Linked DNA regions of Oryctolagus cuniculus. The protein of the gene in region 2 purifies or fractionates together with the protein of the main gene of each other region. This does not show direct contact. Links are inferred from orthologs where the notes say so. Each region holds a gene or a part of one and is shown on either strand. Other genes may lie near its edges. The genes, in order: AXIN2, GSK3A, AXIN1, GSKIP, PRUNE1, NBR1 and FRAT1.

What was found.
Region 1: the proteins of GSK3A (region 2) and AXIN2 purify together in Homo sapiens (affinity purification with mass spectrometry; 3 studies listed by BioGRID and IntAct, with this or other methods). This does not show direct contact. The link is inferred for Oryctolagus cuniculus from reciprocal best matches to the Homo sapiens genes GSK3A and AXIN2.
Region 3: the proteins of GSK3A (region 2) and AXIN1 purify together in Homo sapiens (affinity purification with mass spectrometry; 12 studies listed by BioGRID and IntAct, with this or other methods). This does not show direct contact. The link is inferred for Oryctolagus cuniculus from reciprocal best matches to the Homo sapiens genes GSK3A and AXIN1.
Region 4: the proteins of GSK3A (region 2) and GSKIP purify together in Homo sapiens (affinity purification with mass spectrometry; 7 studies listed by BioGRID and IntAct, with this or other methods). This does not show direct contact. The link is inferred for Oryctolagus cuniculus from reciprocal best matches to the Homo sapiens genes GSK3A and GSKIP.
Region 5: the proteins of GSK3A (region 2) and PRUNE1 purify together in Homo sapiens (affinity purification with mass spectrometry; 3 studies listed by BioGRID and IntAct, with this or other methods). This does not show direct contact. The link is inferred for Oryctolagus cuniculus from reciprocal best matches to the Homo sapiens genes GSK3A and PRUNE1.
Region 6: the proteins of GSK3A (region 2) and NBR1 purify together in Homo sapiens (affinity purification with western blotting; 3 studies listed by BioGRID and IntAct, with this or other methods). This does not show direct contact. The link is inferred for Oryctolagus cuniculus from reciprocal best matches to the Homo sapiens genes GSK3A and NBR1.
Region 7: the proteins of GSK3A (region 2) and FRAT1 purify together in Homo sapiens (affinity purification with mass spectrometry; 4 studies listed by BioGRID and IntAct, with this or other methods). This does not show direct contact. The link is inferred for Oryctolagus cuniculus from reciprocal best matches to the Homo sapiens genes GSK3A and FRAT1.

What each region holds. Positions count from the first base shown.
Region 1 is NC_091448.1:11,836,925-11,840,424, reverse strand, and holds part of AXIN2 (axin-2), read left to right. Parts: intron 1-1,102; coding exon 1,103-1,243; intron 1,244-1,362; coding exon 1,363-1,862; intron 1,863-2,091; coding exon 2,092-2,286; intron 2,287-2,599; coding exon 2,600-2,830; intron 2,831-3,381; coding exon 3,382-3,477; intron 3,478-3,500. UniProt on the Homo sapiens protein: Inhibitor of the Wnt signaling pathway. Down-regulates beta-catenin. Probably facilitate the phosphorylation of beta-catenin and APC by GSK3B.
Region 2 is NC_091449.1:12,815,199-12,818,498, forward strand, and holds the end of GSK3A (glycogen synthase kinase-3 alpha), read right to left. Parts: intron 2,860-3,300; coding exon 2,762-2,859; intron 2,684-2,761; coding exon 2,588-2,683; intron 2,179-2,587; coding exon 1,992-2,178; intron 1,698-1,991; coding exon 1,605-1,697; intron 1,172-1,604; coding exon 1,098-1,171; 3' UTR 501-1,097; downstream 1-500. UniProt on the Homo sapiens protein: Constitutively active protein kinase that acts as a negative regulator in the hormonal control of glucose homeostasis, Wnt signaling and regulation of transcription factors and microtubules, by phosphorylating and inactivating glycogen synthase (GYS1 or GYS2), CTNNB1/beta-catenin, APC and AXIN1.
Region 3 is NC_091450.1:34,335,523-34,339,022, reverse strand, and holds part of AXIN1 (axin-1), read right to left. Parts: intron 190-3,500; coding exon 1-189. UniProt on the Homo sapiens protein: Component of the beta-catenin destruction complex required for regulating CTNNB1 levels through phosphorylation and ubiquitination, and modulating Wnt-signaling.
Region 4 is NC_091451.1:40,752,754-40,756,767, forward strand, and holds the start of GSKIP (GSK3B-interacting protein), read left to right. Parts: upstream 1-1,214; 5' UTR 1,215-1,322; intron 1,323-2,473; exon of another isoform or gene 2,474-2,498; coding exon of another isoform or gene 2,499-2,575; intron 2,576-4,014. Other genes in the region: ATG2B (autophagy-related protein 2 homolog B), read right to left, coding at 603-764. UniProt on the Homo sapiens protein: A-kinase anchoring protein for GSK3B and PKA that regulates or facilitates their kinase activity towards their targets.
Region 5 is NC_091438.1:47,070,256-47,073,755, forward strand, and holds part of PRUNE1 (exopolyphosphatase PRUNE1), read right to left. Parts: intron 642-3,500; coding exon 483-641; intron 1-482. UniProt on the Homo sapiens protein: Phosphodiesterase (PDE) that has higher activity toward cAMP than cGMP, as substrate. Plays a role in cell proliferation, migration and differentiation, and acts as a negative regulator of NME1. Plays a role in the regulation of neurogenesis.
Region 6 is NC_091448.1:19,834,569-19,838,719, forward strand, and holds the start of NBR1 (next to BRCA1 gene 1 protein), read right to left. Parts: upstream 2,801-4,151; 5' UTR 2,342-2,800; exon of another isoform or gene 2,291-2,341; intron 2,017-2,290; exon of another isoform or gene 1,930-2,016; intron 1,462-1,929; exon of another isoform or gene 1,310-1,461; intron 849-1,309; exon of another isoform or gene 685-848; intron 1-684. UniProt on the Homo sapiens protein: Ubiquitin-binding autophagy adapter that participates in different processes including host defense or intracellular homeostasis.
Region 7 is NC_091446.1:32,500,198-32,503,309, forward strand, and holds FRAT1 (proto-oncogene FRAT1), read right to left. Parts: upstream 1,736-3,112; 5' UTR 1,514-1,735; coding exon 650-1,513; 3' UTR 501-649; downstream 1-500. UniProt on the Homo sapiens protein: Positively regulates the Wnt signaling pathway by stabilizing beta-catenin through the association with GSK-3. May play a role in tumor progression and collaborate with PIM1 and MYC in lymphomagenesis.

The DNA.
Region 1 (3,500 bases), on a different chromosome or scaffold from region 2:
AGAAACGCTATTATTTTCCAAGCTTGTAAATTCGAGGATTTTGTCCTGGGGTGTGCAAATTGACTTTCTCCCCATCAGCGCGCAAAGCCAGCCTGTGTGAGAACCGGCCACCTCCTGCTGGGGGTGGGGAGGGGGCTCTCTCTGCCCCCTCGGGCTGGTTCTGCAGCTAAGCGGTTGCCCGGGCGAGGCCCCTCTTCTGCTGGGGCTGGCGTTCTCTCCACCCCCCGGCCCCCAGAAAAGGGCGAAGCGGGCGGGAGATGAGGAGGAAGGAGGCGAGCCGCCGGGAGGGGGGCGGGGCGGGAGATGACAGAGAGGCGGCGGCGGGGGTCCGCCCCGCGTGCTGCAGTTGGCAGGCGATGCGATCGCGGGGCCTCTTTATATTCCGCACTTGATTTGGAGATGTTCCCTGTTCCCTTGATGGCTCAACTTCAGGCGGCCGAGCGCAGCAGTGGTCTGCTACTAGCCTGCAGCAGCTCTCTTCATTTTCCGTACAAAGAGATGGGGAGGAGGGGAGGAGGGGAGGAGGAAGGCGAGGGAGGCCGAGGCCAGTGTGGAGACAACAGCACCTCAGAGGTGCGCAGTGTGCGGCCAGGAACGAATTACCGCTGCTTCTCTGATCCGGGCCTGCCGACACTCTCTCTTTTTTTTTTTTTTTTCCTATTCCCCCCGCCCCCACCTCCTTTGCAATCTTACTTTCTTTAATTTCCAACTCCCCTTCTGTTTAGACGCTACTTTCTATTCCTTGAGTTGCTCTCGCTCCCCTCCCCATCTCAGAGGGCTGCTTTTTTTTTTTTTTTTTTTTTTTTTTTTTGATGTCTGACAACAGTCTTTGAAGATTGTCTACTTCAGAGTAGCTACTGATGGGCTGGTTGTACTACAGAGGGAACAAGCAGGGCCTCTCGGAGTGCGACCAACTGCTCCTGCCCAAGGCAAACGCTGGTGGGGACCATGGCTCTCCATGAGGCCGCGGCGCCGCCGCATAAAAACCCCGACAGCCCCGGCCGCCGCGCCAGCCGCTCTCCGCCCCGGCACGGGCGCGCGGGTTCCGGCAGCTCCGGCCTGCTAAGCGCGCCCCGTCCCTGTGCCTCCCCGCGCCCCGCAGAGAACCCACCGCCTGCCCAAGGAGATGACGCCCGTGGAACCCGCCGCCTTCGCGGCCGAGCTCATCGCCAGGCTGGAGAAGCTGAAGCTGGAGCTGGAGAGCCGCCACAGCCTGGAGGAGCGGCTGCAGCAGATGCGCGAGGTAGGCCCGCGCGGTGGCCCTCCAGCGCTGTGCGTGCGTGCGTGCGTCCATCCCGTGCGTGCGTGCGTCCATCCCGTGCGTGCCTGCCCACACGGCCCCTCTGCGCCATCCCGTTCCAGGACGAGGAGAAGGAAGGCTCCGAGCCGCCGCTGAGCGCGCGGGAAGGCGCGCCCGCCCAGCACCCCTTGTCCCTGCTGCCCTCCGGCGGCTACGAGGAGGACCCGCAGACGATCCTGGACGACCACCTGTCCAGGGTCCTCAAGACCCCCGGCTGCCAGTCGCCCGGCGTGGGCCGCGCCAGCCCCCGCTCCCGCTCGCCTGACCACCACCATCACCACCACCAGCCCTACCACCCCCTCCTCCCGCCGGGGGGCAAGCTGCCCCCCGCGGCCGCCGCCCCGGCCTGCCCACTGCTCGGGGGCAAGGGCTTTGTGAGCAAGCAGACCACGAAGCACGTCCACCACCACTACATCCACCACCACGCCGGCCCCAAGACCAAGGAGGAGCTCGAGGCCGAGGCCACGCAGAGGGTGCGCTGTTTGTGCTCCGAGTATTACTGCTACTGCAAGTGCAAGAGCCACCCCAAGGCTCCGGAGCCCGTGCCAGGAGAGCAGTTTGGGTAAGTGCCAGGCGGTCTGCGGCAGCCCGCGTGGAGCTGTTCTCCCGGCCAGAGGCCTGGGCAGGGGTGAGGCGGGGTCCGCGGCCACAGGCGTTTAGCGCCGGGGGAGGGGGTGCAGGTGCATGGGTCTGTCGCGTTCCCGGCCCCTGCTCGTGCGGTTGTCCCATTGGAGGAATCAGGGGAAGTAATGAGGGTCTCTGGGTTGGGTGTGGGTCTTGGTTTCCTGCAGTGGAAGCAGAGGCAGTACCTTGCCCAAACGAAGTGGGAAAGGCACGGAGCCTGGCCTGGCCCTGCCCGCTAGGGAAGGAGGGGCCCCCGGCGGCGCTGGGGCCCTGCAGCTGCCTGGAGAAGAAGGAGACAGGTCGCAGGATGTGTGGCAGTGGATGCTGGAGAGTGAGCGACAGAGCAAGCCCAAGCCCCACAGGTAGACGCTGCCGCCCCCGGTCACGGACACGCACGCGCGGGGGTCTCGGGGATGGCTGTTTTCACAGTTGGCTGAAAACAAGTGCGACTGTTTGCTCCTGCCATCTTAATATTAAACGTTGGACTTGGGCAGACCGCAAAAATGTCATGTTTTGGCAGCCACTCCCGTTCGTGTTATGGTAGAGTTATTTTTTTCTTCTGCCTCTCTCTCTCTCTCTGAGCAGAATAGACAAGTTTCTATTGAAGTCACATTTTCCAGTTTTTCTAACCCAATTTCTTCCCTTCTACTTTCTCTCTCTGCATCGTTTGTTCAGTGCCCAGAGCACAAAAAAGGCCTCGCCCATGGAGTCTGCTCGCGGGTCCCCGGGCGAACGGGTCAGCCGGCACCATCTGTGGGGGAGCAGCGGGCACCCCCGCACCGCCCCCCGTGCCCACCCCTTTACCCAAGACCCTGCAGTGCCCCCCCTGACCCCACCCAACACGCTGGCACAGCTGGAGGAGGCCTGCCGCAGGCTGGCTGAGGTGTCGAAGCCCCCCAAGCAGCGGTGAGTGGGAGAGAGGGGGTCCGCGCGGGATTGGAGGGGAAGGGGGCACCCTTCTTTCCTGCCTGGGTCTCAGGCCCTCCTGGAAGCAGGCGTTGCTTCTGGCCGACTAAGATTCGCCCTGCAGCCTCTGGGCGTGGGTCCCACTGCTGTGCCTGACTTGAACCCGGATTCAGGAGCATACACTTGAATAATTCCTTACACACCCCATTCCTTATAAAACCTCTCGGTCCCTGGGGGCTGCTTAGCTGAGCGTGTGGGAAACTGGCTGGGGAGATGCAGGAGTCTTTAGCCCTTGGCGTGGGCTGAGGATGTCCTGTGCAGGGTGCCCAGGGGGCTTGCAGCAGCTGTCCCCAAGTGTCATCCAGGCCTCCTGTAGCCCCAACGAACACAAGGCCTTACTGGGTCTTCACAGGGATGGAGGTTGGGTCCGTTTCTCTTCCTGAGGCCAAAGAGAGTGTGTGTGTGTGTGTGTGTGTGTGTGTGTGTCCGTGTCCCCTGTAACCCTGGGGGTGGCCACACCTCTAAAGCCCTCCCCCTGGCTGTGTCCTCAGGTGCTGTGTGGCCAATCAGCAGAGGGACAGGAACCACTTGGCCGCTGGTCAGGCAGGAGCCACGCCCTTCTCCAACCCCAGCCTGGCCCCCGAAGAGTGAGTGTCTCCACTGCCCGGTA
Region 2 (3,300 bases):
TCACCCTTTCCAGGCCGTTGCTTCTCAGCATCCTCAAGATGGACCAGATGGGTGCTGTGTAAAACGGCATGAAGGCCCGCGGATGTTGGGGTTCTGGCCCGGCCTGAGACCACGAGCAGGCTGCATTGTGGCCGGGTGACCCCTCATCATTCTGTGTCTCCTTGCACCCTGGAGCAGCAGGCAGCTCAGGCTGACACAGCTCTTGCTTCAAGTCCTGACTACCAGTGTGCTCTTCGGCCTTGACCTCCCACCCCCAGTTCTCAGTGTGCACTGGGTGCTGACCCCTCCCCTAAGCCAAAACAGATGCTTTATGCTCTTGGGGGCGGACCTCTCCCAGGCCCCTACCATGGATCCGTGCAGAGGAGAAAGCGAAGGCACAGGACAGTCAGGCACCTCGGCCCCCCACCCTCCCCTCCTGAGACACAGCACATGCTTGTCCCAGAACAGCGCACAGGTACCCCCTCACCTCAGTGAAAGGCGCAGCCAGACAGGAAGCCAGGTTTTCATGCCAATAATTTATTGAACGGAGGTCTGTACACAGGCAAACCTTACTGTGGAAACTAAGACATCAGGAGCCCTCCCCGCTCCCCTGGCCCTCCAGGGTGTGGAGAGGAGGGAGCAGACGCTGGGGCAGAGGACAGGAGGGGACATACGGCTGTAGGAGGGGAGGGGCCAAGTTGGATGGTGCGAATCGACGTTTTCTTTAAGAAAAAAATTATAACAATCTATTTACACCCGGGGGCCAGGGAAGGGGAGAGGAGACGGGCTGGGCTGGTTCTATTTACAAGGGACACAGGAGGGGCAGGGGCTGGAGGAGGTGGAGGCCTGGGGAGGGGGCCAAGGGGGCAGAGGTCCTCATACCCCCACACCCCTGTCCTTCCTTCTCTTCCCTCCCCACGACCAGTTAAAATCCTCTTAAAAAGCCACCCCAGGGTCGAGGCTGCCGAGGGAGGGACTGGAGGTGGCAACAGGGACTCATTTACCTCTGCCCTCTAGTCTCAGGGCCCAGCCAGGGCAGGAGCTCGATGGGCTATGGCCCCCTTCCCAGCCCCACTTGGGGCTCCCAGATGGAAGTGGAAAGGTGGCTGGAGGGGCCCTCAGGACGAGTTAGAGAGGGTAGGTGTGGCTTCGGACGACTGCCAGTCTGAGCCGGTCTGAGCCTCGGTTAAAGCTGAAGGGGGGAGGGAAGGAGCAGACAATTAGCGTTGGCCTTCCAGGGCCCCTCCCACCAAAAGTGGCTACACGGACCGGAACGCTGCCACCTCGGGGCCGGGCCGTCTGAGGACTGAACGGTGGCAGCGGGACTCCATCGGGAGGAAAGGCAGGCCCAGAGCCACCCACTATGATTTGCTTCCCCAACAAAATACAGGCAATCTGGATTCGTACACAAAATGGCCCAGTTTTTAACTCTGAGCGACAAGTTCGACAAATTCAACTTTCTGTACTTCTGTGGCTTTGCAGTCAGCACACAGCACACCCAGAAAGGTGGCCATTGCCAGCTCTGAGACGCGCTCGGCACCGTCGGAACTCTGGCTCAGAGACAGCTACGGGGAGCTGTGGCACTGTGGGCACCGCTTACCCCTCAGCAGCCGGTCCCAGCTTACCTTGTGAGGACTGGGAGAGAGGGGTGGAGCCCGCCGGGGACCTCAAGTGAGGAGGGATGAGGATGGCATTGAGAGATGGCTGGATGGAGAGTTCTAGAGACAGGAATCGACACGCCCAGTCAGGGTGGAAGCAGCCATCTGGAGACCATGCAGGGTTACGATGGGATCCCTACTGGGCACCCAGCTCTTGGCAGGGCCAGTTCGTGGACACTCAGCCACTGAACTCTAAGCAGCACACTCAGCGGAAGGGAACTGAGGCCATCTTCCCAGAGCCCCGGCTTGCGCTGCACCCTCACGCAGCTCGCCGGTCGTGTTTTCAACACCCAGCTCTTCTCCCCCAACCTCTGCTGTCCCCCCACGGTTCCCCACCCCCTGCTGCACCCTCACCGGCAGGACTGAAGTTGAAGAGAGGGGGGAGCGGGCGGTTGTTGGGGAGCTGGGTTCCGAGACATCGCAGTTCATCGAAGAAGCTGTGGGCGCAGGCCTCTAGCGGGGAGAGCCGTGAGGACGGCGTGTACTCCAGCAGGCTGGAGCAGAGCGCGATGGCCTCAGGCGGCGTTCGAGATTTGAACACCTGGGGCGAGGGGGCAGGGGGCGCGGGGCCACAGGTGAGCGCTGCCACAGGCACTGGCACCCCTGTGCCTCACTGCCACTGTTCTCGGCAGACCTGACGACGAGCTCCCCGAGCCCATCTCCCAGTGAGGAAGTCGGGGAAGTCTGTCTGTATCGGGTGAGCAAGCTGGCCCCGGCACCGAGACACTGAGCCCTGCTGTGAGCCTGTCACCCACCAAGAAAAGGGGAACCTTGGAATGTACTTGTGCGTCCTCAACTTTTAAAATTCTACCTACTCTGAAATCATGGGAGCGGCTGACCCCTCCCAGGATAACTTCGCACCCCCCCTCCCGAGCTATGATTCTGAGGCCAGTAGGCCAAAGGGGACCCACCCTTCTGCCAGGCTGCCCAGGTCCCCAGCCCTGCCCCACCTTTGTCCAGGGATGAGCTTTAATCTGGGGGAACTTGAACTCTGTGTAGTTGGGGTTCATCTCTCGGATTTGTTCCCGGGTTGGTGTTCCCAGCACCTGCAGGAAGAAGACGGGGACTGAGGCCTGGCCCCATCCCTCAGCCCCACCCGCTGCCTACCCTGGCACCATCCTCACCTTGATAATCTCCACGAGCTGGTCCACCCCACTGTCCCCAGGGAAGATGGGCTGGCCGAGGAGGAGCTCAGCCAGCACGCAGCCAGCTGACCACACATCTGCGGGGAGTGGGTAAGGGTCAGAGCTCGGCGAGCAGGGCTGCTGCGCCCATCCCCTGACAAAGGCTTCCATCCCTCAGGCCACCAGAGAGAGGCCAGGAGCCCCATTCGCTCAGCTCGGCAGAGATGAGGCATCCGGCCCAAGGTAACACGTTTCAGGAGCCCTGGGCACGACCTTGAGCCTCCAGATCCGTGCAGCTTCTCTGCACCTCCAGTCGGCTTGGTCCCAGCCCTCACTGCCTCTGCTCACCAAACCCAGCCAGCCCTCTCTCTGCGCTGTTAGCCTGCAGACACCGAGGCCCACACCTGCCCGTGGCACCTTTGTTCTCCAGGCCAGAGATCCCTGCCTTCCTCACCTGCCGCCCAGGGGAGGAGCTGTAACCCGGCACTCTCACCCCTCCCTAGTACCTTGACCCTCAGGGCGCAAGGTCATACCTAAGA
Region 3 (3,500 bases), on a different chromosome or scaffold from region 2:
GGTCCGCATGACCCGCTGCACGTGCTCGTCCAGGATGCTCTCGGGGTTCTCCTCGTGTGCGTCCCGCAGCCCGGCGCAGCCCAGGTCCACACAGCGGGCCGGGAAGTGGTGCCAGGCTGGGGCAGGAGGCAACTTGTGGCTCGCCCCTGGGGGCCCAGGGGGAAGGTCACCATCCTCTCCTTCTTCCTCCTGCGTGGGGCGAGGCAGCAAGTCACACGGGGGGTGGACAGGATGGCCCCGGCACAGTGCGTCCTGGAGGCCAGGGCCCCCAACACGTGCTGGCTCTGCAGAGGCAGCGGCTGGGCTGGGACCGAGCGCCACACCAGAGGGCTCCAGGGCTCCCCGTCCCGACTGATCCCTGCTCCCATGATGCTGGGCTGCTGGCCAGGAGCAGGCAGACTGGAGCAGGGTGAGCACGGGGCCCCTGGAGCGCAGAGGGCACATGCAGTCATGGCACTGAAGGCTCTCCATCGATTTTCTTGTTTCTTTTTTGTTATTGTTGTTGTTAAAGATTTTATTTATTTAAAAGGCAGAATTACAGAGAGAGAGAGGGAGAGGGAGATTCATTGATTGACTTCCCCAATTGCCCAACGGCCAGGTCTGGCCAGGCTAAATCCAGGAGCTACATGCAGGTCTCCCACGTGGTAGAGAGGCCCAGGCACTTAAGTCCTCCTCCGCTCCTTCCCAGGCCACAGCAGAGAGCTGGATCAGAAGTGGAGCAGCCGGGACTCGAACCGGCGCCCAGTGGGACGCCAGAGTCGCGGGCTCTAGCTTAACCCACTGCACACAATACCGACATCTCTATGTTCTTCTACGTTCGCAGCAAAGACTGCGTTTCCTTCCAATTCCTCTATTCCTGTTTGCCAAGAGAATCCTGCCCCTGCACACAGAGCTGACTCAATGCTCGCACTCGGCGGGCACACTTCTGCATCTGTTACCAGGCGTGGAAATGCACACGGTTTGGTCACACCTCAGGGTGGGTGCTGCGTGCAGTGGCACAGGTTACGCTGCGTCCCACACCCGAGTGACAGTTCAAATGCCAGCTACACTGCTCCTGACCCGCGTGCGGGCAGCACGTGGAAGACCATGTACTCCGTCTCTCCGGCTGCGCCTCTTCCTTTCAAAATAAACCAACCTTTTTAAGGTGCTGACTGAATCTGGAATCAATCAAAAAGGAAGGTGGAGCCTACGTCATCCCCTGGGTTTTATTTACCCATTTATTTTTTTTTTAATTAATTAATTTATTTGAAAGTCAGAGTTAGAGAAGGAGAGGCAGAGAGACAGAGACAGAGACAGAGACAGAGAGAGAGAGAGAGAGAGAGAGAGAGAGACAGAGAGAGAGAGAGAGAGGCCTTCCATCTGCTAGGTCATTCCCCAGATGGCTGCAACACCCGGAGCTGTGCCAATCCAAAGCCAGGAGCCAGGAGCCTCTTCCAGGTCTCCCACGTGGGTGCAGGGGCCCAAGCACCTGGGTCATCCTCCACTGCTTTCCCAGGCCACAGCAGAGAGTGGGATCGGAAGAGCAGCAGCCAGAACTCGAACCGGCACCCACATGGGATGCCGGCGCTTCCGGCAGGGGCTTTAACCCGCTGAGCCACAGCACAGGTCCCTTACCCATTTATTTTTAAACATTTATTTATTTATTTGCTTTATTCAAAAGGCAGAGCAAGAGAGAGAGAGAAGGGTGGGGAGACGCAAAACAATCCTCCACCTGCTGGCTACTCCCCAGGTGCCCCAGCGTCACACCTACTCAGGTCGCCCGTGCAGGTGGCAGGCCCCGACCACCTGAGCCAGCACTGCTCCCAGGGGCCCACCAGCAGGAAGTGGAGTGGAGGGCAGAGCTGGGGCTCAAACCCAGGTGCTCCAATGTGGGATGCAAGTGTCCACGCCCTGTTCTGAATGCTTTATTTATTTGAAAGGCAGAGTGACAGAAGAGAGAGAGACAGAGAGATCTTCTATTTGCTGGTTCACCCCAAGATGCCTGCAGAGCCAGGCCAAGGCCAGGAGCCAGGCCCTCCGTCTGGGTCTCTCCTATGGGTGGCAGGCCGAAACACTCAGGTCGCCATCTGCTGCCTCGACAGCAGCACTAGTAGGGAGCAGACGGGAGGCCAAGCAGCTGGCACCGACTGGCACTCGCTACGGGGTGCTGCATCACGCGCATCTAGCCCACTGACCCAATGGGGGCTGGCCCAAAAGGACATAAATGTCTTTTAAAAATATATTTATTTCAGAGGCAGAGCTACAGAGACAGACAGACAGACAGGAATTCCATCTGCTGGTTCACTCCCCAAATGGCCTCAACGGCTACAGCTGGGCCAATCCGAAGCCAGGAGCCAGGCAGGCGCTTCTTCCAGTCTCCCACATGGGTGCAGGGGCCCAAGGACTTGGGCCATCTTCTACTGCTCTCCCAGGCCACAGCAGAGAGCCGGATTGCAAGTGGAGCAGCCAGGACACCGGCACCCATATGGGATGCTGGTGCCCCCGGCGGAGGCTTAGCCCACCACACCACAGCAGCAGCCTGGATTCAACCATCTTCACTCTAGGACAAGACACTCCCTTCACCCTTGGATTTTAGTATAAGCAGACCTCAGATATCCTAAATTTCTCACAAGTGCAAAGCAAGACAAGACAGCAAGGTCTGTCAACTACAAGATCTTCAGCTGGTGCCGGGGAAGCACCAGCAGGGCAGACTGGGGCCCCGGCGGACTCCGCCTGCCTCCTGCTCCCGTTCAGGGACTTTGGGAGAGTCTTTGTCGAGGGTCCTCCCAGAGTTTTCGCCCTGTATGCTGCGCAGGTGCAGTGAGGAAGGAGACCCCCCCACACACAGGGGGCGACGGGCAGGGCTGATGCCTCGGCAGCACGGCAGTGCAAAGACCGCCGTTCACTGTAGGCTCCGGGCATCCAGCCTCACGCAGTTACTTCCCAACGTTGACTCTTGTTCTGGGGGTGGCATCGTGGTGCAGGACGTTATGGCCCTGCCTGGGACACTGCACAACGCCACAACGCCAGCACATGGGCACTGAGTCAGAGTCCCAGCTGCCCCATGAATGGCCTGGGGAAGTGGTGGAGGACGCCTAAGTGCGTGGGCCTGCACACAGGGGGAGACCTGGACAGAAACCTGGCTCCCGGCTTTCGCCTGGCCCAGTCCTGGCTGTTGAGGCCGTCTGGGGAGTGAAGCAGTGGATGGAAGACCTCTCTCTCTGTCTCTCCCTCTCTCTGCTTCTCCTTCTAACTCAAATAAGTAAATATTTTTTTAAAAACACCTGAGTTTCTTTGAAAAAAGGATCACTACTTGTAACAGATGTAAACAGAGTCACATGTTGTAACAAACAGCAGCTACGCTCAAGTTCAGCTAACGTGTCCCCGGCCAGTGTCCGTGGCACCCACCTGCACAGTGGAGGTGGGCTGGCCCAGGGCGTCTGGCCAGGTAGCTGCTGTCTTCCCTGCAGCTGGACACAGAGCCACCCATCCAGTCGCAGGCAGAGACTCCCCAAAATGAG
Region 4 (4,014 bases), on a different chromosome or scaffold from region 2:
AACCAGCCGGTGAGCACGGTCAGACACCGTGCCCCGGACGCAGGGACGCAGGCCAGCGCTTGGGCGCGTGCAAACACACACCAAGCACCCGCAAGACACAATGAGTCAACTCGGCCTCCGACGACCAGTGGAGAACCGGCTTTAAAATGTCTGAAAAGTGCAGCCTCAGCGCTTTTGCAACACCTGCTCTTACGATCTGTCACGTGAAGCCAAAAGGCACGCACACTGTCCGTGTAAACATAGCCTGGTACAAAGGCGTGCAAGCCGGCGGACGAGGCCTCCCCCGCTGTCCCCCGGGCCGGACGCGGCGTGCCCGGGGGCCTCGGCATCCCACGGGTCCCCCTCGCCTTTCCGGAACGCTACGCCGCGACACGGGGTCTGCTGGCCGTGGGACCCCCGATCCGCGGCCCAGACCGCCCCCGCCGCCCGCCCTAACTCAAGCACTCCCCCAGCGCAGGCTCCCATCTGTCCGCTCGGTTTCTGGAACACGTGATGTCCAGCACTCAAAACACGTTTCTCCGGGGCCGGCCACACGCGGGTCCCCAAATCCCGGGGGGACGGCACCGAGGAGGGGCGCGGGGCCCGCCGCCCGCAGCTCTTACCCATTTGTCCAAGGGGACCTGGGCGAGGGACCCGGTGCCCTGGTACAGGTCCAGGCTGAGCTGCTCCAGGCTCAGCTTCTCCTGCAGGAAGTGGCCCAGGTACCTCTGCAGGAGGTACCGACAGGCCCTCTTCTTGATGGACTCGGAAAACGGCCACGGCATGGCGGCGGCTGAGGGCGGCGGCGGCGGGGCCCAGGCTCCGGCTCCGGCCGCGAAGGCGCTCCGGGGCCCGGCCGGCGTCCCCGGGCCGCGGCGGGGCCTAAGCCCGGCGCGGCCCCTTCATGCCCGCTCACCGCCGGGCGCCCTCAGGCCGACGGCATCGCCCGCGCCGGACACCGGTCGCAGGCCCGGCAAGGACCCGGCGCAGAGGCGGCCCCGGCGTCCGGGGCAGGGACTCCCGAGGGGATCCTCCTCGGCCCGGACACGGGAGCGCGCGACAGGAGGCGGCTGACACCTCCTCGGCAGCCGCGCGACGAATTTGTTGTCATCCACGAAGCGCGCTCCCGAGCCTGGGGACGCTCCCGGCGCGTTCGCGAGAGCCCAAGGCGCCTCACGCGCACGCGCGCGGCCGGGCGCAGGCGGAAGTGACGCCACACTGGGGGCCGAGGGAGGCGGGAAGAAGAGCCGGGGCCGGAGCAGTTCCGGCTCCGAGGGGGCGGTGCCGCGGGCCGGCTCCGGCGGCCTCCCGAGGGAGGAAGAGGAGAAGGCGGGCGAGCGCAGGTGAGCGGGCGGCGGCGGCGGCGGGGGACTCAGGGGAACGGGCGGGCCGTGGGGCCGCCCGGACGGGGGCTGCGGCGCGGCAGGCCCGAGCTGCGGGGCCGGCAGGCCGAGAGGGGTCGGGCGGGCCCGGGTCGTCGGGGGCCCCGGGCGCGGCGGCTCGGAGCGCCGCTGTCTGGCTGGGGAGGACCGGGGCGCCCCTCGGGCCTCCGCGCCCGCCCGCTGGGCGCCGAGGGTCCGCCCCCGCCTCCTCAGGTATTGTTCCCGGAGCCGGCCGGCGGCCGGCGGCGCGCCGAGCTCCTCCGGGGCGTGTGGCACCAGCGACCGGGAAACTCGGGAGTTGGAGCATCTGCGGCCAGAACTGCCGCCTCGGGTCGACGGCAGGGCCCGCTGACCGCCGGGGACCCGCGCTGGGGTCCCGGGTCGGCGTCGTGGCCCTGGTGCGCGCCTGCGACCGCTCGGCCCCGGGCTCGCCGAGCCTCCTTCGCAAGGGGGAGGGTATTAACGTGTCTTAGTCCGAGGATGATCGTTAGGAAGGTGAGCGGACGTGAAGCCCTGACACCCGTGCACCTGCCGTGGGGTAGTGAATTCGCGGGGCTGAGGACAGTGCTGACCGTCTCGGTAACTGTTTCGCGAAAGCCTTGGAAGCACTAACAGAGCCCCGAAGCGTTGGCGGATGGGGAGAGGTTGCGTTCCCGTCCACGCTGGCTTCTCCGCGTGGGGACCGTGCGGCCCCCGGGGTCCTCGGTGCCCCTCCCTGTTGTAGACTCAGCCCGAGTGTCCTCAGTAGCGACCCTTCCCTGGCGCCGCGTTCGTGGGGAAGCGCTTACCGGGGGTCCAGAGAGTGGAAGTCGGTGCAGTTCCGTGTGCGAAGATCAGAGCGTCCCGGGAGCTGCGGTTCTAAAGTGTGGATGGGGGGGGCGGGGGTTCACTCAGTAGGAAACGTTTACTGGCTGCGCGCCAAGTGCCGGGGACACCACGGTGGGACAGCGAAGTCTCTGCTCTCATGGAGCCCTTTGTTGAAGGGAGGGGAAATAGGTAACAGCGTGCCATGGGGCGGTGAGCGCTGTGGCAGGGAAAGACAGCGGGCGGGGCAGAGGCGAGAGGTTTGCCTGTCTTGCCTCGGACGGTGAGAGAAGGTGTTCTCCAACTAGGTGACATTTGGCAGAGACGTGGAGAATGCAAGGTGCACAGGTGTTTGGAGAGTTGGTCTCCCCACACGGGGGAGGAGCGAGCGTGATGGTTGAAGGGGAATCGTGAGTAAAATAGGAAGAAGAGACTGGGAGGAGGGACGGGAAGTCTTGCAGGGTTCTGGGCCTTTGGCTCTCACTCTGGCTGAATGGGAGGGTTGAGGAGAGGAGTGACATCCTCTGGCCTCAGTTTGCAGGATCCTGCTAACTGCGGTGTTGAGAATAGGCTGGCGTGGGGGTGGGCGGGTCCAAGGTGAACAGAGCGAGACCAGTTAGGACGGTGTTGCAGTAATGCAGGCGAAAGATGACGGTGGCTTGGACCAGAGTGGTAGCAGTGAAACCTGTTAGAAGCAGTTAGGTTCTGGATATTTGTTGAAGCAAATAGGCTCCCTAAAAGCAGAATAAAGAAAATGATATGAAAAGTCAAAGGTGGGGGCCTGCCTTGTGGTACAGCAGGCAGCCCATTGGGTGCTGCTGCTCCACTTCCAGTCCAGCTCCCTGCTAAGGCACCTGGGAAGGCAGCGGAGGACTGGGCCCCTGCACTCACATGGGAGACCTGGAAGAAGTGCCTGGCCTGGCCCCAGCTGTTGTGGCCATTTGAGGAGTGAACCAGTGGATGGAAAACCTCTCTCTCGCTCACTCACTCTCTCTCTCTCTGCCTTTCAGATAAATAAATAATAAAATGAAAATTGGGCTCTCATCTGAGAGGGCAGTAGAATAGGCCTTGAGAGCTTTGAACTGGGCTTCTGACCTAGCAATATGATTTGGACTTACTTCCGATGACTTAAATACATGGTTTCTTTAGCAATGTAGAATACATTCAGACTGTCAACGGATGCTTGCAATTTCACTTATCAGAAAGGAAAATTAAAATTGAAGGTTTTTTCCATTTAAAGTGTTAAATGCTTCCTTGTGCATTTTATGCTTTTCAGGAGAATTTCAACATAATTTTTTTTTAATTTTCTTTATTTATTTGAAGGGCAGTGTTAGGGAGATACAGAGAGAGATCTTTCACCAGCTGGTTGACTCCCCAAATGGCTGAAATGCTTAGGGCTGGGTCAGACAGAAGCCAGGAGGCTGGAACTCCATGTGGGTCTCCCACGTGGGTGGCAGGGGCCCAAGTGCTTGGGCCATCTTTGCTGCTCTCCCATGTACATTAGCAGGGAGCTGGTAAGAAGTGGAGCAGCTGGTACTCAAACCAGCACTCATATGGAATGCCAGTGTTGCAGACTGTGGCATAACTCTGTGCCACAACGCTAGCCCTAAGATAAATGTTAAGGTTTGGGACCAGTCATTATTATCCCTGTAGCCCAAACAGGACACAAACTCATCCCCAGACACAGTGCTATGTTTGTGTTTATGGAAGACAGAGTACCTAGCACAAAATATTAACACCTGACATTGATTGAGGTAGATGAGAATAATTAATTACCCAACCACATTTTGTCAGCTTTTTAAGAATTATATTGAAGAGTTTAAAGTGACAGAGTAGAAGCTATACATCA
Region 5 (3,500 bases), on a different chromosome or scaffold from region 2:
GAGGACATGAAGCAGAGAGATGATGGAAAATGCATTTATAGGAGCTGGCGCTGTGGCGCTGTGGCACTGTGGTGCTGTGGTGTAGTGGGTGAAGCCACCACCTGCAGTGCCAGCATCCCATATGGGTACCAGTTCGAGTCCTGGCTGCTCCACTTCTGATCCAGCTCTCTGCTATGGCCTGGGAAAGCAGTAGAAGATGGCCCAAGTGCTTGGACCCCTGCACCCATTTGAGAGACCTGGAAGAAGCTCCTGGCTTTGGATTGGCATAGCTCTTACCATTGCAGCCAATTGGGGAGTGAACCAGCAGGTGGAAGACCTCTCTCTCTCTCTTTGCCTCTCCTTCTCTCTGTGTGTAATTCTGACTTTCAAATAAATAAATAAATAAATCTTCAAAAAAAAAAAAAAAAAAGACTACAATGAGCAAGGCTTGCCTACTTGTCTTCTCATGCAGGAGGTAGGGAAGTCACTGTGCCACTTCCTACCTGACACATCAAACTTTGCCTTTTGGAGGGAATCAAAGATGTCATCTCTCTTGGGCAGATCTGGGAAGAGGGCCTCCAGTTTCTCTACATATTGGTTGTCCTTTAGGGTTGCCTTTCCAATTTTAGGGTCCATGTTGACACAGTCCAGGATGATGGTTCCTGTGCAGACAGAGAGGGAAGAAGTCAAATCCTAAGATCCTCCACTCACAGCCACTAGAACACACGTAACCAGGGCTGGCACTGTGGCGTAATGGGCTAAGCATCCATCTGCAGTGCAGGCATCCCATGTGGGTGCTGGTTCTAGTCCGGGTGCTCCTCTTCCAATCCAGCGCTCTGCTATGACCTGGGAAAACATCAGAAGATGGCTCAAGTGCTTGGGCCCCTGCACCTTCCTGGGAGACCCAGAAGAAGCTCTTGGCTCCTGGCTCCGGATCAGCCTGGCTCTGGCTGTTGTGGCCATTTGGGGACTGAACCAGTGGATGGAAGACCTTTTTTTCTGTCTCTCCCTCTCTCTGTCTGTAGCTCTGCCTCTCAAATAAATAAATAAATCTTAAAACACACACACATACACACATACCCTTCAAACCACACTGACAAAATACAGAGGAGACTTGCATGGCAAACTCACTGAAAACAAAACAAGAAAGTGCGATGGTCTTTGTTCTGAGTAAGACCTTCCATATCCAAAATAAAACGGAGCTGGGGAAAGGGAGAAAGGTGGAAAGGAAGTCTGAGCGTCTCAATCCTTGTGGATTTCACAACCTAGTCAGAGAGAGATGACAACTCTTCAATAGGCCAAAGTCTACCAAAGAATCTTACCATCTGGAAGAAAGTCTATTCCAACTGTAACTTGTTTTTAAAATGGAGAAAATGGCAAAAGAAAGGCTAAGAAATTTGCTCAAAGCCATACAACTATTTCCTGGCAGAGCTGGCATTAAAATGTGTTCTAGGGTAAGCATTTGGCCTCATGGTTAAGCTGCCAGTTATGATGCCTACATTCCCTATCAGTATGTAGGCTCAACACCTAGCTCTGGCTCCTGACTCAGTGCCTTGCTAATCCAGGCTGTAGGGGGCAGCAGTGATGGCTCAAGTCATTGGTTCCTGCCACCCACATGGGAGATGGAGACCTGGATTGAATTCCTGACTCCTGGCTACAGCCTGGCCCAGCTCTGGCCATTTTGGACATTTAGGGAGTGAATCAGCAGATGGGAGCGCTCTCGCATGCTCTCTCTCTCTCTCTTGCTCTCTCTCTCTCTCTTGCTCTCTCTCTCAAATTAACTAAAAAAAGTTTCCTTCTGGTTTAGCTAGTTATGCAATGCTGCTAAAACAAAGTACCTAGGTCTATTGCTCTGCATTTCAAATAAATAGTTTTCAGGGGCAAGCGCTGTGACAAGTGGGCACTGATGAGTCCCAACTGCTCCACTTACAATCCAGTTCTCTGATGGTGCTCCTGGGAGGGCAGCAGAGGATGGCTCAAGAACTTGGGCCCCTGCACCCATGTGGGAGACCCAGAGGAAGCTCCTGGCTTCAGTGTGGCCCACCCTGGCCCTTGCAATCAATTGGGGAGTGAACCAGTGGATGGAAGATATCTCTCTGCAACTCTGCTTTCAAATAAATAAATCAATCTCTTTTTTATTAAAAAGATTTTATTTATATTTGAGAGGTAGAGTTACAGGGAGAGGCAGAGGCAGAGGCAGAAAGAGAGAGAGGCAGAGATAGGTAGGTCTTCCATCTGCTGGTTCACTCCCCAGTTGGCCACAAGGGCCGGGGCTGCGTGGATCCGAAGCCAGGAGCCAGGAGCTTCTTCTGGGTCTCCCCCGTGGCTACAGGGGCCCAAGGACTTGGGTCATCTTCCACTGCTTTCCTAGGCCACAGGAGAGAGCTAGATTGGAAGAGGAGCAGCTGGGACATGAACCGGTGCCCACATGGGATTACAGAGCCACAGGTGGAGGCTTAGCCTACTATGCCACAGGGCCGACCCCAATAAATCTTTTTAAAAATATATTTTTCAAAAAGGGTGGGTGTTGTGGTGTAGCAGTTTAAACTACCCACTTACAACACCAGTATCTCATATCAGAGTGCTGATCTGAGTCCTGGCTGCTCTGCTTCCAATCCAGCTCATGTCAGAGACCAGGATAGATTTTCTGGCTCCTGACTCTGGCCTGGCCAAGATTGATTGTTTTTATTTTTATTTTTTGTATTTTTTTAAAGATTTATTTTATTTATGTGAAAGGCAGCATTACAGAGAAAGAGAGGAGAGAGAGAGAGATCCTGCATCTGCTGGTCCACTCCCCAAATGGCCACGATGGCCAGAGCTGAACCGATCTGAAGCCAGGAACCAGAAGCTTCCTCCTGGTCTCCCATGTTGGTGCAGGGGCCCAAGCACCTGGGCCATCCTCTGCTGCTTTCCCAGGTGCATTAGCAGGGAACTAGGTCAGAAGTGAAGCAGCTGGGACTCGAACCAACACCCATATGGGATGGTGGCATTGCAGGTGGCAGCTTTACCGCTATACCACAATGCTGGCCCCCAGACTGGCTGTTGCAGCCTGGCCAAGACCTTATTGTTGCAGTCATTTAGGGAGTGAACCAGTAGATGGAAGATATCTCTCTCTCTCTGCCTTTCAAATAAATAAATAAATGTTTTGAAAATAATTAGGGGCCAGCACTGTGGCATAGCAGGTAAAGCCACCGTCTGCAGTGCTGGCATCCCATATGGGTACTGGTTCTAGTCCCAGCAACTCCAACTTCCGATCCAGCTCTCTGCTATGGCCTGGGAAAGCAGTGGAGGATGGCCCAAGTCCTTGGGCCCCTGCACCCACATGGGAGACCTGGAAGAAGCTCCCGGCTCCTAGCTTTGGATTGGTGCAGCTCCAGCCATTGCAGCCATATGGGGAGTGAACCAGTGGATGGAAGACTTTCTCTCTCTCTCTCTACCTATGCCTCTCTGTAACTGTGCCTTTCAAATAAATAAATCTTAAAAAAAAAATAATTAACAAATAAAAAACATAATAAAGAGAA
Region 6 (4,151 bases), on a different chromosome or scaffold from region 2:
GGTTAAGCCTGCATCCCATATCAAAGTTCTGATTCAGCTCCCTGCTAACATGCCTAGAAAAGCAGTGAATGACAGCCCAAGTACTTGGGTCTCTGCTACCCACATGGGAGACACAGATGGAGTTCTAGGCTCCCAGCTTCAGCCTAGACCAGCCCTGGCCATTGTAGCCATTTCCGGGAGTGAACCAGTGGATGGAAGAGTTTCTCTCTGCAACTCTACCTTTCAAGTAAATAAATAAAATCTTAAAAAAAAAAAAAAAGGACATTACTACAATAAACCAGTCTTCAGGGGTAGCCATTTGGCCTAGCAGTTTACAGTTGCTGGTTATGACACTCACATCCCACACTGAAGTACCTGGATTCAGTTCCAGGCTTTGGCTTCTAATCCAGCTTCCTGCTAATGCAGACTGGGAGGTAAAAGCGATGGCTCAGGTAGTTGGGTACCTGTCACCCATGTAGAAGACCTGGGTTGACGTCCCAGCTCCTGCTTCTACCTAGCTCAGACCCAGCCATTGCAAAGGTTTAGGAATGAACATGTATTTCCCTCAAATAAGTCTTCAGAAGCTTAAAAATACTATTTTTTTTTTCACAGTATAACGAACTACTCTCAAACAATACAACTGAGACTGCCACTTTAAAGACTCTGAAATCTCTGAAGATCGGGATTTCATTTTTATAAACTTACTCAATGATCTCTGCAAATTTTCCCATTCTTTTTCTCCACTTAAATTCACCACAAAGTAATGCCAGACTCGCAGCAATCCTACTGACTTCTAGCAGTCATTCACATGAAATACATCTCTTGGGGTCCTTATGATATGGGTAGAATCCCTGACAATTCCCTGTGACCTTGTGCAAAAAAAAAATCAGAGAAATGAAGTGACTAACTCAGCCTGCCCTAAGTGAATATTCTGAAATATACTTTTAGTTTCCAATGTCAAGAAACACATTCTCATACTTTTGAAAGTCCGGAAGGAAACCAATCTTCCTCCTTCTTGCCCAAATTATCCCATTAGAAATTAGTTCAGATACTTGGCACTCACCCAGCTGGTCTGCCAACGGGGAGCAAACAGGAAGTGGGAGATTCTAGCTTAGCTGGACCACAGCCAGGTCTTCATAAAGAACTGCCTATCTCTTTGGCGTTCATGTGAAAACTCTTTCAAACGAGAGCATAAATCTTGAACTTTGGAAATACTTCAACTCTGGCTCGTTCCGTGGCTCTATAGATGTAGGGCCCGTACAGTCAGGTAGCTGGGGCCCACGCCCTCGGCTTTCATAACTGGTATTATAAGTTCATGTCACTGACTCACCTTAGCTTGGCACAAGTCAGCTTTTCCTCTACGTCGGTTTTTTCTTCTTCTTTTTTTTTTTTTAGCCTCAAAAAAAATCCTTTTAATTAAGCAGACCTGGGACTGCGAGCTTTGATTACTGTCCTATCCGGGCTTTTAGTGTGATATGAAAGCTAGGTGTTTGACAAAAGAGATAAACAGTGCTTTTCCAATACCGAAGTTCCCTAAGGTCTCTGGACGCGGGTCTCAGAAAGGGGACGATGTGATGAGGGGGATGTGTGGGGAGCGTCTTCATCCTGCTCTTCCAGCCCCCCGTCTGCCTCGCACTCCATGTCCCCAACACACTGTCATCGCCCCCTAAGGAGTTACTCCTCTGCCTAGGCCCTCTTTGTACTGGGAGATCCCGACCTCCCGTCGGTACAAGCCAGGCGTTCTGAGCCACGGCCCCTCCATCCCGCCGGCGGCATCGGCTCCCTCGGTCCCTCCGAGCGCGAACGGCTCTCGTCTTGTCACTGAAAAGACTGGCTGCCCCTAGACACGGAAAAAGTCGCCCCTATTTGCAGGGTTCCTCCCCTGAACTTCCCCAAACCCATTCAGTGTGACGTGACCCCACTCCTAGGTAACCGCAGCAGCTTGCTTACCAGCTTCCCGCCCCCGGGGGGCGCCTGCCGGAGGCCAGTGCAAAGACCGTTCGCTGCCAGCTCTGCTGCTCTCCCTGCGGGCAGAATCTAACATGGCGGAGAGAGACAGGGCCTAGTCCCCTGTTTCCTCCGAGTTTCCGACAAGATGATTGGCTCTTACCCTTGTCCCTCAAAACGACCACCCCCCCATTGATTGGTTGAGACTGCCCTGGCGGGGGCGGGGAAGACACAACCTGACCCTCACAACAACAACAAACACCGGGGCCGAGGGGCGGAACTACGAATGCGCAGTCCGAGGCTGGGGCGGGTTACCCCTCCCCAAGCAAACTCCGCGTCCTCCGCCTTCCCTCAGGTCGCTGACCTTAGTGGACACGCGAGGCCTGACGGGAATTGTAGTCTTCCTGGAACTTACAGGTTCTTTAGCGTCCGCTCTTAAGATATAAACACCTAACAGCACTCCAGTCCATAGCTGTCGACGTGCATAACCGCGCGGATGGCTCCAGTCTTTCAACTACGTGTCGCGAGGATCGTGCCCGTTTCCAGAGTCGGGAGCTCTTCTCCATAAGACTACAGTTTCCAAGGAACACTGTGGCGAAGGCCTTTCGTTACGCAATGCATGCTGGAGATCGTAGTTTCTTTCCCCCGACAATCTTTTTATTTACCTAAACGGGGCACGTCCATTGCGGCGGAAAGGGTGAGGGGATGGGCTCTCTTCTTGCGACTGCTGTGAGCACTACCTTGCGCTCATATTCAGGCCTCAGGTAGTGATTCCAACCCTTGTCCAGCAATTACTGTGACGTAATAAGCTGTAACCAGAAGCGTAGAGGCGAGGGGGCGGCCACCTAATAGAAAACTCAGAAGTCTTTCTCCCGTCGCTTTCTAATTACGTCATGCGGGGGTGGGGTGGGGCAAGAGAGGATGGCCAATCCGGAGCTGGGAGGCTCCTGCTCCGCCCTTCCGCTGACGTCCTTTAATCTCGCAAGCTGAGAGGCTATAGCTCCGCGGGAGCGGCGGGTTTCCATGGCGACCGAAAGCGCGGGAATTACAGATAAATTGAAACTGAGACTGCGCGTCGTGAGTTTTCTGCGGCTTTCTGGACCGATTACAGTCGGGGGGCGGTTTCTCAGATAACTGGGCCCTAGGGCCCGGAAAGCCCGGACTCCGATCTGGTTAAAGGTGAGAGAGTCCCTAGGAAATGAAGAGGGAGCCAGGAGGTGGTCAGTTGAGAAACAAACAGCTGTGAGAAGAGTGGTCTCCCGAAGGAGAGCGAGATGGGCATTCCTCGGGCCGGAGGGTGTGGGGGTGAAATCTGAAGGGCCTACGGGCTGTGTGGCTCTGAGATGAATCCTGGGGAGGGGGGCAGTTTGAGTCACCAGGCGGGCACCGAGGATAAGGACAGGCCACGGTGTGTCCGAGGGAATCCGGGTGACCGGATGTGCAGGGGACACCTTGAGCGTAAGAATGCCAGAGGCAGGGACCTGGAAGAAGGCCCAGGATTGTCGGGGAAGAGGAGGAGACAGGATTTTGTGTGAGACAGAACCCTCTGGAATTGGATCCGTAGGCACTTTGGGGAGGGGACGGGAGAGATGTATGCTCCGGGTGCGTTGGTGCTGGAGCAGGTCTGTGGGACGCTCTGGGGAAAGGCAGGGGTGGCGAGTGTTCCTGGTGTAGGTTTTGCTGTGATTGGTGGCAGTGCCTTTGGTTTTAATCAAGAAAATGAAAAAGAAAGAAAAAAGCCAGCCTGGATGGCTGGAGAAAGCTGAGGCTGTCACCACTCACCCCATTGGAAACCTATATGTAAACTGTAGAGAATTCAAACCGTCTAATTACACAAGGCTTCGTGCAGAATTTTTTTTTTTTTTTTTTTTTTTTTTTTTTTTTTTGACAGGCAGAGTGGACAGTGAGAGAGAGAGACAGAGAGAAAGGTCTTCCTTTTGCCGTTGGTTCACCCTCCAATGGCCGCCGCGGCCGGCGCGCTGCGGCCGGCGCACCGCACCGATCCGATGGCAGGAGCCAGGAGCCAGGTGCTTTTCCTGGTCTCCCATGGGGTGCAGGGCCCAAGCACCTGGGCCATCCTCCACTGCACTCCCTGGCCACAGCAGAGGGCTGGCCTGGAAGAGGGGCAACCGGGACAGAATCCGGCGCCCCGACCGGGACTAGAACCCGGTGTGCCGGCGCCGCTAGGCGGAGGATTAGCCTAGTGAGCCGCGGCGCCGGCCCGT
Region 7 (3,112 bases), on a different chromosome or scaffold from region 2:
AGGACAGAGGGTCCCTGCGCCTCTCACCCCACCCTCCCACCTCCAACACCCCCGCCGCCGTCCTCCCGTGGTGTACGGGCTTCCCCGTGCGCTCAGGAAAAGGCGGCCAGCTTGCAAAGAGAAGGCAGAAGAAAAGGCTACTCCCACTCAACCCCAAGAGGGTCCTTTCCCGAGGCCGCGTGGTTTCTGTTAAGAACAGCACCCGGAAAGACACGCGCTGGGTTTGCTAAGTGTCGTACAATCTTCAAGTCCGGCAGGTTGGGGTGCTCCCTGAAACTGCTCATGTCGCCCTCCCCCGACACGGATCGGGAAACAGCCTTGGAAAGGTAAAGCAAGTAACTGCGGTCCTCTACAGTCGTTCCGTGCTCTGCGGGCCCGAGAAGCTTGGGCCGCGGCCACGTGGTCGTGGGCTGCGCGGGTCACCGCCAACTGGGAGTCCTGAGCAGCGCCAGCTGAATTGCAAGCAGATCGGGGCCTTGGACCACCGTCGCCCGCGAAAACACTCGCGATGTCTCGGCTCTCCGTCTACACCAGCTTATTTTCTCTGCTTCAAAAGGAGCGAGCTCTCCACTAGTCTGAGCAGGGATGCAGCCCTCGGAGAGCCCCATGGTCTCCCAGTCGGAGGCCGGCGCTGCGGCCACCCTGGCTGTTAGCTGCCAGGGACGAGAACACCGTCTCCAGTTCTGAGCTGCGCCCTCCTCCGCGGCGCGCCTGGGTCACTGCAGGCCGCGCGGGGGCTTCGGGGCGAGCGGGGCTCCTGTGCCGGGGCGGACAGCGGCCCCGGGAGCTGGCACGGGGGAAGCTTGGGGCGCAACTGCAGCCTTCGCGAATGGAGCCTCCGCACAGCCTCCTTGATGAGGTTTCCCGAGAGCACTAGTTGCTGCAGGAGCCGGTGCGGGTCGTCGTCGCTCGTGCGGGTTTCGGGTTGGGAACCGCGTCGTTGCTGCAGGCGGCGGGAGGAGGCGGCGCCTCGGAGCCATCCTCGCCGGCACGGGCCTGACAACGGCTGCGGGATGCCCTGCTTGCCGGCCCCCGGTGGAACATCAAGGCCGGGCTGAGGGGGCAGCGGAGACAGCACGTTGGAGCCCGCGGCCAGCTCGGCCACGCAGTAGGGCGCAGCCCGCCCTCGCACGCGGCCACGGTCCCCGAGGGCGCAGCGAACAGCACCCGGGGGAGCCGGGCCCACCGCCTCGGCCAACGTGGGCGGCGGCAGCAGCGGCACGCCGGGGGCCCGGGCCTTGTCCGCCCTCACCGCCGCCGGGGGCCGCGGGGGCTGCTGCTGTGGCGGCCCCGGGGGAGCGCACGGGGAGGCCGGGCTGTCCTGCGCCGCGTCCAGCTGCAGCGTCTCGCCGATCTGGGCCACCAGCCGATCCACCTCGCCCGAACCGCCCAGCGTCACCGACTGCTCCAGCAGGAGGAAGCTGCCCTCCTCCTCCTCCTCCTCCTCCTCTTCTTCTTCCTCCCCCTCCGCTTCCTCGCCGGCTTCCTCTTCCTCCTCCCTCCCGCACGGCATGGCCTTCGGCCCGGGCACCCGGAGCTCGGCGGGCGTCGCTTGGCGGCTGGGCGGACCGCGGATTGGGTGGGCCGCGGTTGATCCCGGCGTGGGGCTAAGGCCGGAGCCGGGGTCTGGGCCGGGACCGGGGCGGACGCAAAAGCCGGGCCCGGCTGGCGCTCGCGCAGCCAGCCTGCAGCAGCGAAGCCGGAATGCTGCCGGCTCGGGTTGATTTGTAAACAATGGGTGACGTCGCGCCGGGCCCTACCACCGCGCCGGGTGGGGGGAGCCATGCCCCGGGAGGACAGGCTGCTGCCGGCCTGGGGTCCGGAGGAAAGCCTCGCCGCGTCTGCGCGTGGGTCTCTGAGCGCGGCGTGTGGGGGCGCACAGGGGAGCTGCTCCACGCTCCCTCCACCCGGCGTGGCTGGCGTCCGCAGAGGAAGGACACCGGCGTGCGCCCTGTTGGTTGCTCCCACACACAAGCGCAGACACTTACACACACACCTACACACGTCCTCCGCTCCGCACGTCCCCGCGCCTGCTCGCAGCGTTTGCGCTTTTGAGGTCGGGGTGCCGGTGTCTGGCGAGATTGGCGGGGATGGAGAGAGGGAGGGGAGCCCTGTAGTGCGATGGGGCTGGCGGAGTTGGGAAAGGTAAAGAAAGCAGGGCCACAGACCGACGTTTCTCAGCTGGGAGCCTGGGGGTTTGGGGCCTGCACCGGGGGCTGGGACTGCTGGAGACCTGGCGGTTGCTGCTCTTGAAAGGGGCTGTGAGCTGCAAAGACTTTTTTTTTTCTTCCTTTTTTCTAGATTTATTTATTTATTTGAAAGGCAGAGTTACAAAGAGGCAGAGAGAGAGAGATCATTCTTCCATCTGCTCTTCATTCTTCCATCCACTCTTTCACTCTCCAAATGGCCGCTGAGCTGATCCTAAGCCAGGAGCCAGGAGCTTCCTCCGGGTCTCCAATGTGGGTGCAGAGGTCCAAGCTCCTGCGCCATCCTCTACTGCTTTCCCAGGCCATAGCAGAGAGCTGGATCTGAAGAGGAGCAGCCGGGACTCGAACCTGTGCCCATATGGGATACGTGCGCCACAAGCAGAGTATTAACCTACTGCTCCACAGGGTCGACCCTGCACAAAGTTTTAAGGAAGGCCTCAGCCCAGCAGAGGAGGAGGTGCTCCCAAGTGTAGCGGGAGAGGAAAATGGTGAGTGGTTTGCATGAACATAAAATAGTGGCCATTTCTTTTCTTTTTTTTTTTTTTATTTTTTGACAGGCAGAGTTAGACAGTGAGAGAGAGAGACAGATAGAAAGGTCTTCCTTCCGTTGGTTCACCTCCCAAATGGCCACTACGGCTGGTGCGCTGTGCTGATCTGAAGGCAGGAGCCAGGTGCTTCCTCCTGGTCTCCCATGCGGGTGCAGGGCCCAAGGACCTGGGCCATCCTCCACTGCCTTCCCGGGCCACAAGCAGAGAGCTGGCCTGGAAGAGGGGCAACCGGGACAGAATCCGGTGCCCCGACTGGGACTAGAACCCGAGGTGCCAGCACCACAGGTGGAGGATTAGCCTGGTGAGCCACAGTGCCTGCCAATAGCGGCCATTTCAATGCTTTAGTATATTATGGTT